Neurospora crassa OR74A: one gene and its partner. Each later gene encodes a partner of the first gene's protein in a complex. Links are inferred from orthologs where the notes say so. Each region holds a gene or a part of one and is shown in the gene's direction. Other genes may lie near its edges. The genes, in order: NCU00794 and NCU06468.

Region 1 (9,385 bases):
AGACTGGCCGCCACGGTGCAGTGATATCTGAAGAGCTACAAGCAAAGAAGCCCTCGGCACTGGCGCGCTTCTACACCTGCGCCAACGGAATTCTTTTCTCGCGCTTCTTGAACATAGGACTGGTCTTTGTACCAGTAGCATTTGCCGTCCGTAAGTTCACCGGTATCCACTTTACATCCTCCTCGTTATAGGGCACTGGGCGGTCTAGGCTATCTCCAAGGCTAGAACGCCGTACACCAGTGGCTCTTCTCAGGGCTAGGCTCCAAGGAGGTACCTCGCCTAACCCTTCAGAATGAGCTACACTTGTAGCAGTTCGTGGCCGTCATGTGCTGCTTGCGTGAGATCCCTACAGGTAGATTGCTGATTCCCTTGAGGTTGTCACCGCAGACTTCACGTCCATGCCGGCTGGCGTGGTATTCGGCATGAACGCTGTGGCAATTATTCCTCTGGCCGGGCTCCTCAGCCACGCAACGGAAAGCGTAGCCGGTCGTTGCGGTGACACGGTTGCTGCCTTGATGAACGTCACCTTTGGAAACGCTGTCGAGCTAATCATTTTCATGTGAGTGAACTTTGATCCCCCACAGGCTCTTTCACAACGTCTTTCGAGGTACTGAGCCGATCAGAAAGGGCTTAAAGCTGACGAAGGGTGCGCAAACAACAGCATTGCGCTCGTGAAGAATGAAATCCGGATCGTCCAGGCCTCTCTCGTTGGATCAATTTTGGTTGATCTCCTGTTAATCCTGGGAATGTGCTTCATTTGGGGCGGTTTGCGATTCCGCGAGCAGATCTACAACAGCACCGTAACCCAGATGAGCGCTTGTTTGCTCACGCTGAGTGTGCTGAGCTTGATGCTCCCAACCGCGTTCCACGCCACGTTTAAAAACGAGCAGGAGGCGGATATCAAGGTTCTGCCGCTCAGCCGGGGAACCAGTGTCATCCTGCTCGTTATCTACCTCCTTTACCTCATCTTCCAGCTACAGTCGCACTCCTATTTGTACGCACCAACGCCAAGACACTTGATCGAACAAGCAGCGGCACCCGGCCCCGCAGCTCATTACTTCAGCTCTAGACGTAACTCGTCTTCATCTCCACCTAGGACTCCTGATGAGAACGCATTACAAGCGCCCCAAGCCATGTCGAACGAAGATGGTGGCACAGCTGGAAGACAGGAGAACAGCAGGGGTGCAACCACAACAGAGCACGACGCCGCCGAAAGGACGGAAGCTGTCACAGATGACACGCTACACCAGACGCAGGAACTCATCCCTGCTGGCCAGCCTGATACTGACACGTTCGCTGCCGATGATGCAAGAGGCCCAGGCCAGCAGGGTGAAACAAAAGACGTTGAGCCGTCGCAAGGCCGAGACCAAAATTCTGGGACCAACGAACATCATGCTGGTCTTGGTCTGGCCAGTGACCTAGAGGCACAGTGGGACACGGCCTCTCGTGCTGCGCCGTTTCTACTCAGATCGCTCCGGCCGATCTCAACTGCTGTTGCCTCCATGCTGGAGAACCCCAACGAAGCAGAGCAACCGGAGCATAATGCACAAGGACAGCCACTGCGGCGTGTCCAGTCTATGCCGACTCGAACACAGAGGGCTGCGAGCAATCGACAGGCACCCGGCCAATTGCCGGTAGTAGTCCCCATTGTGGTTGACAGCACACCGGCCTCGCCTCGCAACAGTGAGGAAAAGCCAGCGGCCCAAGAGACAACAGAGGTCGAAGCCATGCCACAGAAAGCCGCCGTAATCCTTCTTCTGGCCTCGACCGGCTTGGTCGCCGTTTGTGCCGAGTTCATGGTGGACTCCATCGATGCAATCGTCGCCCGGGATGCCAATGCAACTACAGGCATCTCTGAAGCCTTCATCGGTCTAGTGCTCATCCCCATTGTAGGCAATGCAGCTGAACACATCACATCTGTGAGCGTGGCACTCAAGAACAAGATGGACTTGGCACTGGGCGTGGCACTGGGCAGCAGTATCCAGATTGCGCTGTTTGTGACGCCGGTAGTGGTTATCTTGGGCTGGATCATGGATCGAGACATGTCTCTCTACTTTACCCTCTTCGAGACTGTCTGCATGTTCGTTAGCACCTTCATTGTGAATTTTCTCGTTAGAGATGGGAGGAGTAACTACCTCGAGGGAGCACTTTTGGCATCTGCCTACCTCATTATCGCCGTGGCAGCGTTTTACTTGCCAAATCCAAGGTTGGCTAGCTCTGTTGGGTAAGGGTGAAGACAGAATTTAGGATGGGAGGTCGGAGTGTGTAGGCTACCTAGGTTCGGATGACAGATGAACGGTTATGGTTGAGGCCCAGACCGAAGGAGTAGTTTGTCTTGACTAAGGAGGTTTAGGCTTTTGCCAACAGCCATATCAGTAATTGTCGTAGCAGAGGCCGCATCAGATGCAGTATCAAAGCTAGTACCAGAGCCAGTGCCAGCCGTGACCGTACCCGACTTGGGACCAGCAGCAGCCGCAATACTTTGCAAGTGGCATTGGGAAAGCGAAAACCCGGGCAGCCTGGAATATCGGGACTGCCGGTCAATGAGAAGCGAGGGGAATGAGAAGTTTGGTCAATAAGTAGAGATAGTTGACGAGTATCCTGGTGAAGGGAATCCAGGGTATAGCGATTCCTCTGGACGTGGGCGATATTTGAGGGTCTGGGTCACCTAGACAAAGGGAGAGAAATGAATTTTTGTGCCTTGTGTAGTAGTATAGAGAAACAAAAAGGCGTCATGTCGGAACATGAATCCCCTCCGGAGGAGTCAAGAACAGCCGGGCGATGCTCATGCTGGGTTCATACATAGATGGGAGATCACGTAGGGTATACAGTATAACAGCTGTTGGGAAGCAGTGGTGACGACAAGTGGGAGTTGACTCGGAGTGTTGGAATGTTTGGAGATGGGATGATGATGACATGGGATGATGCCCGATGGTTCAAGTGGAAGGTTTGGATGCAGACGCACTAACAGCGCTAAATCGTAAACAGCCCTGGCCCAGCTTCGTGATGCCCCTGTGGAGACATGGGGAAAGCAAGTGTGGGTCAGAGCTCCATTGGAACTGGACATGCCAAGCCAGTTTTGCACGCCATCACCGCCAAAATTTTGGACTGTCCGCATTCTGCTGGGTCCAGCCTTTGCAGGGGCAGCAAGTCCAGTGCAAACCCAGAAGGCCCCCAATCCATCAACACTTCCTGGAAGTCGGGCGAGTATCGCAACACACTTTCAGCGACAACTTCTGGCACAACATAATCCAAGATGGCGACAGTACTACCACCCCCGTCGAAGCGCCAAAAGAGAGAGGAGATTGAGCGCACCACAACACAGCTCGATGTCGCCCCGATACTGGCGCCTGAGCTCGGCTCCTTCAAGGCCAACTTCGTCGACAGCGATGGCAACCAGATGACCGATGTCATCGAAATCAACTTTGCCGATGCCACCGAAAAGAACATCTCCGTCTTGCTCAACACCCTGCTCGAGAGGGACCGCGAAGAGTTCACCCCATACCGATTCCGCATCCATATTCCCGGCAAGGATATCATTGTCGACCAGTACCCTTCCGACCTCCTCGGCCTTCTCAAGCAGCATGGTGTCGAGAACCCCTTCGAGTATGCAAGACCCGGACACAGGAAGCCCAGCACGTAACTGCTTCGCTAACCTCCGCATAGAACCACAATTACTCTTAGTGCCGAGCCCCAGGCTGTTTTCAGGGTACAAGCAGTTTCGCGCCTTGCCCATCGCATTCCCGGTCACGGCCAACCCATCCTCGCAGCCCAGTTCTCGCCTATTTCATCCGGACGCCTTGCTACCGGCAGCGGCGACAACACAGCTCGTATTTGGGATACAAATACAGGTACCCCGAAGCACACATTGAAAGGGCACACCGGCTGGGTCCTCGGCGTCAGCTGGAGACCCGATGGAGAGCAACTAGCGACCTGCAGCATGGATGGCACAGTGAGGATATGGGATCCCGAGGCCGGCAAGCCCGTTGGTCAGCCTTTCAAGGGCCACGCCAAATGGGTGTTGATGACGGCGTGGCAGCCGTACCACTTGTGGAGAGACGGCACCCCTAGGATTGCCAGTGCTAGCAAGGATGGTACCTGTAGGATTTGGGTTGTCAACACAGGCCGTACCGAGCACGTCCTGAGCGGTCACAGGAGCTCCGTCGCCTGCGTGCGATGGGGTGGAACCGACCTCATCTACACGGGTTCGCACGATAAGGTTGTCCGGGTATTCGACGCCGTCAAGGGCACCTTGGTACACAGCTTGACATCTCACGCCCACTGGATCAACCATATTGGTTTGTCCAGCGACCACGCCCTGAGGACCGCCTACTTTGACCACACCAAGGACGTCCCTTCCACCGAGGAGGGCAGGAGGGAGAAGGCCAAGGAGCGTTTCGAGAGAGCGGCCAAGATCAATGGCAAGGTTGCTGAGCGCATCGTATCTGCCAGTGACGACTTTACCATGTACCTGTGGGACCCCACCAACAACGGTACCAAGCCCGTTGCTAGACTTTTGGGACACCAGAACAAGGTGAACCAGGTCCAATTCTCTCCCGATGGCACTTTGATCGCCTCGGTTGGTTGGGATAACAGCGTGAAGCTCTGGAATGCCAGGGATGGCAAGTTCCTCAAGAGCTTGAGGGGTCATGTTGCACCCGTGAGTTCCTTACCCACATTCATCTCTTACCACGAGGGGAAAGTTCTAACGCGTTGATACTTCAGGTCTACCAATGCTCCTGGTCCGCCGATAGCAGGCTTCTGATTACGGCTAGCAAAGATACTACCCTCAAGGCATGGAATGTGCGCACTGGCACTCTCGCCATGGACCTTCCCGGACACGAAGACGAGGTATGTGAACCAAATCACGGCGACATCGGTGTTCCCACTGCTGGAAAATTCTAACTCGCTTCCAGGTATACGCTGTGGACTGGTCGCCGGATGGCAAGATGGTAGGATCAGGCGGAAAGGATAAGGCCGTGAGGACATGGAGAAACTAAAGAAGAGGGCAAGAACGAACCTTACTCTCCTACAGCCAGCAGTCGGAACCCGAGAGCCCCCGCTCTACTTCACTCGCGGAGGCCTCAGCGGGGTGATATGACTTCTGGCCTGCTTCCGTGGTGTTTGCAGCAGTTTGCCGTTCGCACGAACGAGCCGGCTTGGGATACTACATGCCCAGGTATCTGCCAGAAACAACTTTCACGGCAATCTTCGCGAGCCAAGTTTCCTTGACGTCAGCCTAGCTACTAGTATCGGCTCACCAAAGAGGCCTTGCTGAGTCAATACGCAACACGGCTGCACACATCACCTCGACTCGCAGGGTGGTGATGTTGTGTGGCTGTTAAGTGCTTACCGACTGCGCCTCTGCCAAACTTTCCGAATCGCTGGGCAAGAGCGAAAGAGGCGATGGAATGGGCCTGGCAAATCGGTAAAATCTCCCGCCGCCAGTTCAATGTTACCAAACCGCGCGACCACACACCAAGACCAACAAGACGCTCGAAAGATTTGGAAAATGGAAAGCACCATAGATAGACAGAGACGTGGTCATGTTAAGCGATGTCCGGGGGTATCCATTTGAGGTTTGATAGATGCGAGCATTTGATGGAATGGTTCTCATTGCGCGCATCATGCAGGGCGTTACATAGGTGCCACGATATAGACAAGGATAGTGATATGCATTCATGGCAACCTAGAGAGACGTTGTTTAATCATGACGTTTGGAGCTAGTGAACCAGCCGTTGATGTTCAGAGTTACGAATATGTAACTTTCGAAGACGGCATATGATTCACTTTCCCGAAGCAACAGACCAGAGGTAGCAAGAACCACGCACACTGCAAGCCTTTTTTTTTCTTTTTTCTGAAGCATCCTTCGAAGGCCCGGACGGGAGCTGCCACTGGTCCTATGGGTCCCGGTCTGTAGCAGGCAAGAGGGAGCAGGAGGCAGCCTTCCACTTCCCCGCCCCGCCGTGCCGCGTCGGGTCCAACGTCGTCGCCCCCGCTTTTCAAGGTATGTTTCCCAAGTCTGGAAAACGTATGTACGCTAGAAAACGGCAAGTCCAACAGTCATTGATTTCAATTTTCATCTGTTTCTTCTTTTCTTGTCACTTTCTCTTGTTGTTCACAAATGCCTCACGATTTCTTTGTGATTGAGTTTGTCCGTCACACCAATAAAGAAGCATTCGGTTATGCCTCATGCTTTTCGCGATGACATCTTTGATTAGCAAACTTAGTGAGCTATTTCCTCCAGAGCGGCAAGTGAATGGTGGAAATAACAACCAATACGACGTTGAGATGGAAGAATTGGAAGCTTCCATCTTCAACAAGCCCTTGTGCTCCAGAAAGAAAACCAACCTTTTCCAATTTCTGGTTAAAAACCTTGTTCCCCAGCCTTCGTCAACAGCCAACCGCAACCTTCGAAATACAGTGGTATCTCGGGAGATATCGGGACACGCCTTGCCTCATTCATTCGTGTCACACCCACTTGAAACGGCAAGCCATGGATTCCATGCAACTGAAACTCTGGGCATTGTTCTGGGCTTTTGGGCGACGTTTTTAACAGGAGTTCCCTTTTCACACTACAAGTCAACTACACAGAGGTACCTAGACAGCTGCGCCTTCTATGGGTGGCTTGGTCAGTGGATACACCGACCGGTACAGAAAAGCCCAAATCTCCCCTCCCCCGCTTCTGCTGTCATCGATAGGAATTGCCCCTGATAGACGTTTATTTCTTGGTTGTCTGTCGATCGAAACACAACGCGAAACAACCCCCTTCGATCCTCTTTGCATATCGCGACTTTCACTTGTATACGCTGAAGCCATGGCCAGCCTCATCTGACCAAAGTCCTTTCATCACCTCTCAACATATATTGTCATGAAAAGTCGATTTGAAATCCTCAACCACCTAGCTTACAGCCGGTCTGGCAAGCGCCGCCAGGCAGCTTCTTTTGCAGATCTGCCGATCCACGGAATGAAGCGAGACCGACCCGACTTTACCTCTAGTGTAGTGTACACTAGTTGTCTGGTATGGAGGTCTGGATAGGTGATCGTCAGTTCGGGCATCAGGTCTAGTCCGTCCAAGCAGCACGTTTTGAAAGCTGTCGATCCTACTGGACACCCTAGTGGTACCGCGTTGAAGATCTGGCCGGATAGGTAAGTTTTGAAAAGTTTGACTCTGCCGGCCGGACGCGAAATCAATAACAACAGCAGCAAGAACGACGACAACAAGTGAAAGTCAACGACGGCAGAGCTACCTACCTACAGGTAGAATGTATGTTATGGTCACCGCAAAAAAACCTCAAACGCCCTTTCGACTCGCCTCTCTGCCTCACCCCGTGATCGGAGCCCGGAGATTTCATAAATGATTTTGAGCAATGCAATGCCGTGTTCGTGTAGCCCAGTCCTTCATGATGTCTTTCTTTGAGTCCGTCAACCAAAGGGGTCTGGGAGTCCATTCGGGACACGATCAAATCGTCTCTTTTTCGGGACTTTTTCTTCGCCTTGGGCTGTGTGTGTACCCACCTACCTAGTATACTATGAATGGGTTGCAAAACAACCGCTATACCGTTGGTCATTGGTGTTGATAGCATCGCACCGCATTCACCAAAAACCCATCCCACCGTCGCTTGCCAGGTCGGAAATTGGGAAGCATGCAATGCGCCTCTGACTTTCTGACCATCTCCATCAAACCGCCTGCCGGATCGACGGCGTCTTACAGCCGGCTGCTGGGCCGAGTTCCTGTCTTTTGTCTCCACTCACTTGGATGGGCTGTAGTATTCGAGTGAAATACCCCATCATTCTAGGATTTCAGAGGCAATTTGATATTCGCGGTTCATGCAAAGAGCTTGGATACAACGACACTACATGGGGCAACGTTATGTAGAGGTAGCTTCGTTCAGTTTCTTCCCTTCTCACACTCAAGACTTGCGTCCATCTACACACAGGAAGTACGTCCCCAGTGATCCTCTCCCCACGTGTGTCTGAGTTTGTAAATGTACATACAACTGTCGTCCTCCATTCCCATGTCCCCATGATTGCACTAGAGCTATTCTAGTTTAGGGCTCAGGGATTACCCGATCCCCAGTCGGTTACGCAATAAAAGAATACCTGTCGATGCTGCAAGATACCAGCCTTGCGGATATGTGTACACCACTCACATTTCCAAAAACAAGAGCGCTCAATCCCCCTACATCGTGAGTCGAGGCGTACAAAGGTCCTTGTGGGAAGCCTGGCCCTATATTCCAGACAAACAACCCTACCGCATCGATGAGTTTCGGTTCCTCGATCGGGAGGTAGCAGACATGGATGGGCTGAGAAAGGTGATGGTGCTGGGAACTTCAAGGTGTTGATCCAGGTTGATAGGTCAGTGGGGAACGATACTTCCATCCTACAGAAAACCAGGGTCTCTCGATTGTGTACGCGCCAGTCTTTTGTAACTAAGGCTCGGTCGTCTGCCATCGGTCTGCACTAACCCAGTATGATTGCATTTGCATAAACAATCTTCTCGCAGCGTTGATCTCGGCACTTGTATATTTCACACTCGATGGACGTTTACGAACGTGGCTCTTGGGTCAAAGCACGTCACGTTCACTGTCATATTAGTGCCAGCTCGAAAAGCGTCTAAGGCAGTAAGTATTGTTTGGCGAGCACAGAATTTGGATGGGTTCCTTCCTTCAGTTACTCCTTCCCTCGGCCACAGGCTGCGGACTCTGTGGAATTCAATCACGAGCATCTTTACGTTCAACGTGTTGCTACACCGGTATGCGGTTTGGGTGAGGCCAAGACCTATTTGCTAACAGCTGTTTCCTTGAGCTCATCAGCTGCCGCAAACATGTGGCCTTTTGGAAGCTGCGTAATGACGGGAGACGCAGGATTACGTGATAGGATATCAGAAAAGAGGATGGTGGTTGTAAAGTGATGAGTGGTGTTGGTGAAACGAAGCAAGCCCCAGCTTGGCCTTGGCTGCTTACCACTTTACTGGTCCAGAAAAGATGGACACAACCGTCTCCAAGAAGAAGAAGGAGATAAGCAAGCACGTTTGACACCGGGCCTTTGCAATCTCGAGTCTCACCAAAGTTGAAGGACCAAATCGGGAGAATTGCACGGGAACGTCATGCTCATGTCAAATGGGAGCTGCAGTCCGTTCTGCATCCTGAGGTCAGGTCAGACCGTCACATAGAAGGATAACGAGTAAGATTGAAGCTTCTGGGAGATGGTAAGACCAAAGGATGGGAAGAATGGAATGAAGTTTTCCGTCCGTGTCGAGACTAGATGAAGTCGACAAAAAGACAACCACCATGTCACTTTGCTCCGGACCCCAAACCCTTGTCAAGCTGCGGCCCCTCACCTCGGTGCTCATCCACATTCCACGGCCAGTGCGCCCATCACG
Region 2 (8,209 bases), on another chromosome or scaffold:
CTCGAAGGTGCGCCTTGGGAGGCAAAGAACGCCGGTCATCAGACTATTGCGCCTGTTGATGGCAGTTTGCAACGCTTCCACACTGCCACGAGAATCCTGAACGGCGCTGAGAACGCGGATGTCCTTGCTCCTCTGGCATTTGATGTCCTCTCTCTTGGTGATACCAGACTCCTCGAGGCCTTCATGCAAGCTTCTACCAACGGCCTGATCAAGTCTCCCGCTGCTAGCCAACGTCTCGCTCAGCTTTTGTCTTACATCAGTGCTGAAGATGCCGGTGCGCTGAGACAGGCTGTTGCCTCTCTGTACGGCTCTGCCCCTAACAAGATGCTCATGCCTCTCCACCCTCTGCTCAACCCGCCTATGATTCCTCTTCTCGAGCAGGATCGCGAGGGTCTGGCGGCCTGGATCGCCGGCTGCTACGAGCTCTACCTCGACATCCAATCCGCCCAGTCCGCCATGGAAGCTCAGCTTGGCAAAGTCAATGTCAGCAAGCCGTCCCAACTCAACCGCCTCCAGCGCTCCTGGATCGCCGACAAGGTCGCCTCGCTCTCTCGCGACTCCACTGTCAACGCCGCCCGCTTCCTGGCCTCTATGCTCAAGCTGTTCAAGGCCTACATGAGCGAGACCATTAACGAGTCCAGAGCCTGGAAGGAGCGTCGCGCCATCTTGAGGCGTCTGATGCTCTTCTGGACGCGCACCTTCGAGGCGCTCATCGTGCCTAATGCCAAGTTCGAGGAGGCCCGTTTCCAGGCGCACTTGACGCAGGGCTCTAACCTCCTGAGGAAGGCCCTTTCCGTTCTGCAAGAGGCTGATGATCGCAAGATGCTTGCTACCATCTTGGAGTATCTCGAGCGCGACTTTGTCGTCGGCTTCAAGCTTTCGACTGGTCTCAGTATGGAGGCGCTGTGGAATCAGCTGCGTCCTGAGCCGGTCGCTGATCAGGAGTGTTTGAAGCAGGTCATTGAGATGGAGAGACTTGCTGATCGGTTCGATTCGCTGCGCTGGAAGGCTGATGCTTCCATCCCCACTCTGAGAAGCGTTCAGGAAGCTATGGCTAGGGCATATACCGTCGTTCGCAGCGGAAGAGGTGATGCCTCTGCGCTTGTCAGGGAACTCGAGTCGGAGATTTCCACCCTCGAGGCTAGAATTGGTCAACATCCATGGACTCACGAGCCGTTCTTTGCTTCCACTTTTGAGGCACTTAGACAGGCTCTTGTTCTTCACCAAGTTACGGAGGACGGCGAGGTCGTTTTGCCCGCTCTGTCTGATATCGACGTGCTTTCCAACCTCCCCACTGTTGCTCTGATGCGTCTCCGCGCTTCGGGGTCTTCGCCGCTGCAGTTGGTCGATTGCTTGCTTGCCCAGGATAGTGAGGTTCGTCCTTGGACTGGTACCCTGTCCAGGTCGCTCTTGCTCAAGTACGATGCCACTTCCTCAGCCAGCATGCACGAGTTGCATTCTTTGGAGACCGAGTTGCCTATCATGGGCAAGATCCTCGCCAAGTCTTCCGATGCTCTGGCTACCGATTCGCTGAAGAAGACGGAGCGGCTGTTGCTGAAGCTGATGGAGGAGATAATGGCTGCTCATGGCGATCTTTGCAAGGGCGTCGTCGTGCCTTTCTTCCATGGTCTTATGAATGAGATGGGCAATGTCCAGGTGGCTGAGCTCGCTGCTCTCCTCGAACAGGGAACCAACTTTGCGATTGATACCACTCAGTGGCCTCAGCACCTCGTTGTCATCTTTGAGAGGCACTTCTACAAGGCTTTGAGAGCCCTGGCCGCCGCCGAGAAGGGTCTCCAGCCTCGCTCTGCATACACTTCCGTCGCTTGGGTTCAATTCTCTCTTGCGTCCATCAAGCTCTTCATTCCCGACAAGATCTTCGATCCTCACCACCGCGCTGAGATCGAGCAGGAGGAGCACCGCGAGATCTACGAAAGCCTGCAGCAACAGATCGCTGCTCTCGAGGCGTTTGAGCTTGCCTTCACCGGCCAGCACGCCGGTCTCCGCTGCAAGCTTCTCATGGAAGAAGTTGCTGGTCTTGGGGAGCCGCCTGCTGTTCAGTCTATCTACCGCCCTGGCGACTCGGAGCTTCGTGGCCTGCAGGGAGAGTTCAACAATGTTCTGAATGCCCTTGTACAGAACGACGTGGCTGCTTCGCATCTGCGCTCCATTTCCACCGACGCTGAGGATGCTTCCGAGGAGCTTTCCCTCGTTGAGAGGAACCTTGTTGCTCTTGTTGGCCGCTTCATTGGTCGCTTCAATGCCTACCAGGACTTGACGATGCCGCTGGTTAGCTTCTTGCGCTGCTTGCAGCTTGGTCTTTCGCTCGGCCAGGGTGCCGTCCCTGCCAAGAGCTCCGACGAAACCGATTTCAAGAGCATGGTCAAGGCCACCCCTTTCCTTAGCGGTACTGTCTGGGACGCTGAGGCTAAGAGCTTGCCTCTCCGCTCGCTTGAATTCCTCTCATTTGTTCAGGCCATCGTTGCCGTCGAAGGTATTGATAGCTTGCCGGAGAACCTCAGACAGGCTGTACACGAGTCCTTCTATGCTTTCCATGAGGAGTGGAGCAAGAAGCTGGAGGCCGATCGTAAGGCCGAAGAGCAGAAGAACAGCTTGTTCCGCTTCAAGGGGAGTCTGGAAGATGAAGAGGCCTTTGACCAAGAAGAATTCGATCAGCTGTTCCCTGACTACGTAGACGACGACGAGGAGCAGGATGCCGACGCGCCCAAGAAGAAGAAGCAGATTCCTCGCGGCAACCGCGACCTGTCCATCTTGCTGGCGGAAGCTCATGAGAAGATTTTCCTCTCGCCTCAGGAGCCCCAGCAGAGCATTCGCATCTTGCTTACCCAAGTTGCTCGCAGGATTGCCCGTGCGGAGCGCAACGCCGCCGCTGGCGAGCCCGAGATGGACGCCTTGCTTCTGCCCGCCACCATCCTCGCCTTCGAGGACCAGATCAAGGCCTTCAGCGCCAACGTTGACTCCAACAACTACAACTTCTATACCGACTCTATCCTCGTCGAGGTCCGCAAGGCCCTCACTCTCGTCACCGCCCTCAAGAAGCGCTTCCAGGAGCTACAGACCATCGAAGAAATCGGCCACCATCAAACTCTCGCCGACGTCATCATCGCTTGCGACAAGGTGCTCGACATGTCTATCGACGATCCCCTGGCCGCCATCATCTCCCCCATGGAGAAGCTCTACGCGCACGTGTACGAGTGGCACGAAGGCGGCTGGGCCACCAAGGCGCACAAGGCCACCGTCCTGTATGAGAAGCTGCGCGATACCATCTGCGACTGGCGCCGTCTCGAGCTGTCCAGCTGGTCGAGACTGCTCGACGCCGAAGCCAAGAAATGCCACGACGATGCCAAGTCCTGGTGGTTCATCGCCTACGGCGCCGTCATCCTCCAGCCGTGCTCGTGGTTGCAGGAGGGCAAGGATCTGTATGCGTACGCGGTCGAGCTCTTGGGTGCTTTGGAATCCTACTTTAACACTGCCAGTCTCGGCCAGTTCACCTCTCGTCTGAACCTTCTCAGACAGCTCAGAAACCAGCTGGAGCTGCTGATGGTGGATGAGCCTCAGTTGAGCGTCATCCGCGATGCTGTCCAGAATTTCATCACCTATCACGCCAGGTACGAGCGCAAGGTCAAGGAGGCTATCGCCGCCGGCAGAACTCCCTTGGACAGGAAGATGAAGGATGTGTTGCTACTGTCGAAGTGGAGAGATAAGAACATCGAGGCGCTCAGGGCTAGTGCGCGCAAGTCTCATCAGAAGCTTTTCAAGCTGGTGAGGAAGTTCCGTGGTGTACTTTCCCAGCCTGTGAGCGGCATAACCGAGCAAGGCCTTCCCGAGGAAGAGCACAAGAGCCTCGTGGCAATCGTCGACAAGGCCGCTGTCCAAGCTGACCAGGAGGCTATCGCCCTTGTCTTGCAGCTCATTCCATCTCTAGAGAGCCAACAGCAGTGGACAAGAATCACCAACCTTCCCGGCGTCCTCAAGATGATGGGCAAGTTTGGCTCGCTGCCTGCTTCGGCCGTGGAGATCCCCAGCAACTTGGACGAATACATCACCTCGTTGGTCACCGAGATGGCTGAGCTTCGCAAGGAGACTCCCCAGCACCTCACTGACGAAAACAAGGAGGCCGTGGCGCACTTGAAGACAAGAAAGACTAAGCTCTACACCGACACGCTCAAGACTCTTCGCGAGATGGGCTTCAGTCGTAACCTGGGCACCACCATTCTCGACCGCCAAAAGTCTGCTCACGCCGTGCTCGTCCACTCGGGTCTTGTTCCCCACCTGAGCGAGTCGCAGCTCAACGCCATCGAGTACTTCTACCACAAGATGCTCGACTTGGCGCCCAAGTTCCGCCAGGCTACCTTCGAACACAACGATGATCTTAACCGCGAGATCGTCCACCGTTCCATTGGTTTCCTCGAGGGTATTCTGTACGTTATGTTCAAGCAGCGCATGTATCTCTCCCGCACAGCTGAAGCGGAGCGTGCTCTTGCCCAAGCCATTACTTTCACCAAGGAGGTCTCAGGCCGTGGCGGCGAGGTGGCTATTCAGTCGCAGAAGAGCTTAACGAACCACGGTCGTGTCCTGCGCTGGCTTGTCCAGATCCTCAAGTTCGCCGTCTACATGGTCGACGTCCACGGCAAGCTCGGCGATATCAGCAATGATCAAGTTCGCAGCAAGTTGCAGCATTGGCTCGATACGTTCGCCACTTTGGCCACCAAGCAGGAAAGCCTGCCTCGTCTGCCTACCGGTTTCAGCTCCTCCGCTCTCGAGCAGCTTCATAGCGATGCCGAGAAGGAGCTCGACGGTCTTCGCGAAAGCCTCAGCAGTCTCTTGCTCGAAAGACCCGACATGGCATTCGTCATCCGCCAAGTCCAGCTCTGGACCAGCGCCCAAACCGTCGCCATCGCCAACGAGCTTCAGGAAACCACCATCGACGAGTTCGCCAAGTCCGCCCTGGACCTGTCCAGCCGCATCCTTGTCGCCCTGCAAAAGTTCCCTGAAGCCGTCAAGAACCTGCCCCAAAGCCAAGAAGACGCCGGCTGGTTCCTGGCCCACAGCGAAGGCCTCGAGAAGGCCATCAACACCCTTGCCATGCCGCGCATCACCTCCGAAGTCGACGGCATCCTCCGCCTGCTCAAGACCTCCGACCTGTCCCAGCCTGCCGTCCGGGACGCCGAGACTGCGCTCCTGCGCGCCATCCTGCCCATGCTCGAGCAGTACGCCGCCACGTGCCAGCAGAACCTCGCTCAGTACGCCGACCTGCACCGGTCCACCTGCCGTCTGGGCTACACCCTCAGCAACAGCTTCATCGTCATCGCCAAGCAAGGCTTCTGCTCTCCCCAAGAAGAGAGCAAGGAAAAGTCCGGTGAATCTGGTGACGTGCAGAGCGGCACCGGTCTGGGTGACGGTGAGGGAGCAGAGGATATCAGCAAGGATATCAAGGATGACGAGGACCTTTCCGAGCTCGCGCAGGATCAGAATAACAAGAACCAGAACGATATCGAGGATAACCCCGACGCGGTGGACATGGGTGAGGATGATCTCGAGGGAGACATGGGGAGCGTGAAGGCTGAAGAGGAAGATGAAGAGAACCAGAAGGATAAGGATGGTAGTGATGATGAGGAGGATGATGAGATGGACGAGGAGGCGGGTGGTGTCGATGATCTCGATCCTACTGCTGTCGATGAGAAGATGTGGGATGGTAAAGATGAAGAGGATGCGGAGAAGGATCAGAAGGGTGAGAATAATAGCGGCAAGCAGGATGAGGATGAGCAGGCTGCTGCGGAACCAGGGAAGGAGAAGAAGGAGCAGCAGCAGGAGAGCGAGGAAGCGGTGGGTGAGGAGGAGGAAAAGAAGGAGAAGAAGGAGGGTGAGGAGGAGAACGAGGATGAGGAGGAAGGTGAGCCGGGACAGGAGCAGGAGGGTGACGCCCAGCCACAGGAGGAACTGAATAATCAGGACCAGAATGTGCAGGAGCAGGATACCCTAGCGTTGCCGGATGATATGCAGATTGATATCAGCGATGGAGAGGATGAGGAGGAGGATAACTTGGATGACCTGGAGGATGGTGAGAAGCCGCAGGATGGAGAGATGGAAGAGGAGCAGGCGCCGAATGGTGTGGAGGAGGAGCAGCAGCTTGAGGAGCAGAAGGATGCAGAGAAGCCTGAGGAAGCTGAGGCTGAAGAGACGGATGATCTGAACCCTATGGATGAGGATAACATGGATGTGGACATGGACAAGGAGGAGGAGCAAGATGAAGATGCCCCGCAGGATTTGGACAAGGAGGAGGAGGACAAGGAGAAGGAACAGCCCGGTCTGAACGATGACCAGGCTCAGGCGGATGACGATAACGCTGCTCCCAGCGATGTCAAGACGGGTGGTGGTCTTGCTCAAGATGACCAGAACGACATGCAGGACGATACTGCCGACAACAAGGCCGCCCAGCGTGAGCAAGGTGCTGTCAACAACCAGTCCTCTGACCAAGACAACGCCCCCGGTTCCAAGGGTGAGCAGTCGAGGACTGAGCAGCAGGAGGGCCCCAATGAGGATCAAGAGACCGAGGCCAGCAGCCAACCATTCAAGAAGCTCGGTGATGCTCTCGACAGATGGTACAGAAACCAGCGCGACATTCGCAACGCCCCCGAAAGCAAGGAGGAGCAGCAGAAGCCCGACGTCGACATGGCCAAGGTTGAATTCCAGCACTTGCAGGATGAAGACGCCGAGCCCGACACCCAGGCTCTGGGCACCGCCAATGATGAGGAAGTTCGTCCCATGGACGATGCCATGGCCATTGACACCGAGATGGAAGACGCCAACAACCACGTCTTACCCGAGGATGAACCCGCTGCCGAGGACAACAAGCAAGAGGACGTGGACATGGAAGATGCCGAGGCCCCTGATTCCACCGACGCTCCCAAGGAGGACCGCAAGGACGGCCGTTCCGGCGTCGCCACTCACCAAGGTGCCTTCGAAGACTCTGACGATGAGGACTCCGACGCCCGCAAGGCCAGCGCAAAGGAAGGCGACCTAGACGAGGCGATCAACGAAGAATCGTCCACCCAGCTCTCCGCCATCCACCTCGAAGACCAACCACCTCGCCCCTTGCGCGACTTCAACGAGGCCCTCTCCATGTGGACCACCTTCCAAACCAAGACGCAATCCCTCTCCATGTCCTTGTCTTCTCAACTCCGCCTGATCCTCACCCCTTCGCAATCCACCAAGCTCTCCGGCTCCTTCCGCACCGGCAAGCGCCTCAACATCAAGAAGATCATTCCCTACATCGCCTCCTCCTACAAGCGCGACAAGATCTGGATGCGCCGCGCCATCCCGACCAAGCGCTCCTACCAGATCTTGCTCTGTGTGGATGACTCCCAATCCATGGGCGACTCGCTCAACAACTCCGGTTCCGCCGGCCGCTTGGCTTTGGAGTCGCTCGTCATGACCTCCCGCGCGCTTACCATGCTAGAAGTAGGCCAAGTCGGCGTCCTCGGTTTCGGCACCGACGTCTTTGTCGCGCACCGTCTCACCGACCCCTTTGCCTCTCACGACGCGGGCGCCAGGGTCTTGCAGCAATTCACTTTCAAACAAGAGGGCACGGACATGGTCAACCTCTTGCGGCGAACCATCGATCACTTCCGCGACGCGCGCCTCACCTCGGCCTCTCAGTCGGGAGGGGAAGATCTCTGGCAACTCGCCCTTATCCTGTCTGACGGTCTTGTTCAGAGTAAAGACCACGCGCGCCTTCGCCCCTTACTAAGAGAGGCAATGGAGCAGCGCGTAATGGTTGTTTTCATCGTCATGGACGATGCTCGGGATGCTCAAGGAAATGCGAAAAAAGGAAGTCAAAGTGTCTTGGATCTGAAAGAGGCTAGGTTCGGCAGTGATGGTATGCCGGTGATTCATCGCTACTTGGACAGTTTCCCGTTCCAGTATTATTTGATTGTGCATCACTTGGATGATTTGCCGGGGGCGTTGGCGGGCTTGTTGAGGAGTTGGTTTAGTGAGGTTAGTGCTTCTTGAGCACGCATTCAGCACACATACACACTCAGGGAAAGGGGGGTTGAAGAGAAAATGAAACCCGAAAATACTACGAGGAAAGAGAAAAAAAAAAAACTGGGAGACGATAGATAGATCATAGATAGATTGGCATTCTTGTATTAGGAGTTATTTGTTTGTTTGCTTGCTTGGTTGGTTG

The links.
Region 2: the proteins of NCU00794 (region 1) and NCU06468 are in contact, whole or in part, in a cryo-EM structure (PDB 6YLF), measured with the Saccharomyces cerevisiae proteins. The link is inferred for Neurospora crassa OR74A from reciprocal best matches to the Saccharomyces cerevisiae genes RSA4 and REA1. Residues at the interface, in NP_009997.2 of Saccharomyces cerevisiae: Leu29, Pro30, Asn31, Ala48, Leu49, Arg50, Val51, Pro52, Pro108; in NP_013207.1 of Saccharomyces cerevisiae: Glu4778, Thr4779, Cys4817, Glu4818, Asp4853, Met4854, Ser4855, Gln4856, Val4857.

Annotation. Positions count from the first base shown.
Region 1 is NC_026501.1:7,140,116-7,149,500, forward strand, and holds NCU00794 (ribosome biogenesis protein Rsa4), read left to right. Parts: upstream 1-3,105; 5' UTR 3,106-3,256; coding exon 3,257-3,606; intron 3,607-3,666; coding exon 3,667-4,660; intron 4,661-4,725; coding exon 4,726-4,851; intron 4,852-4,916; coding exon 4,917-5,000; 3' UTR 5,001-5,703; downstream 5,704-9,385. Other genes in the region: NCU00795 (membrane bound cation transporter), read left to right, coding at 399-559, 662-2,228; NCU10894 (hypothetical protein), read left to right, coding at 9,294-9,385. UniProt on the Saccharomyces cerevisiae protein: Involved in ribosome biogenesis. Required for processing and efficient intra-nuclear transport of pre-60S ribosomal subunits.
Region 2 is NC_026503.1:1,510,348-1,518,556, reverse strand, and holds part of NCU06468 (midasin), read left to right. Parts: coding exon 1-8,034; 3' UTR 8,035-8,209. UniProt on the Saccharomyces cerevisiae protein: Nuclear chaperone required for maturation and nuclear export of pre-60S ribosome subunits.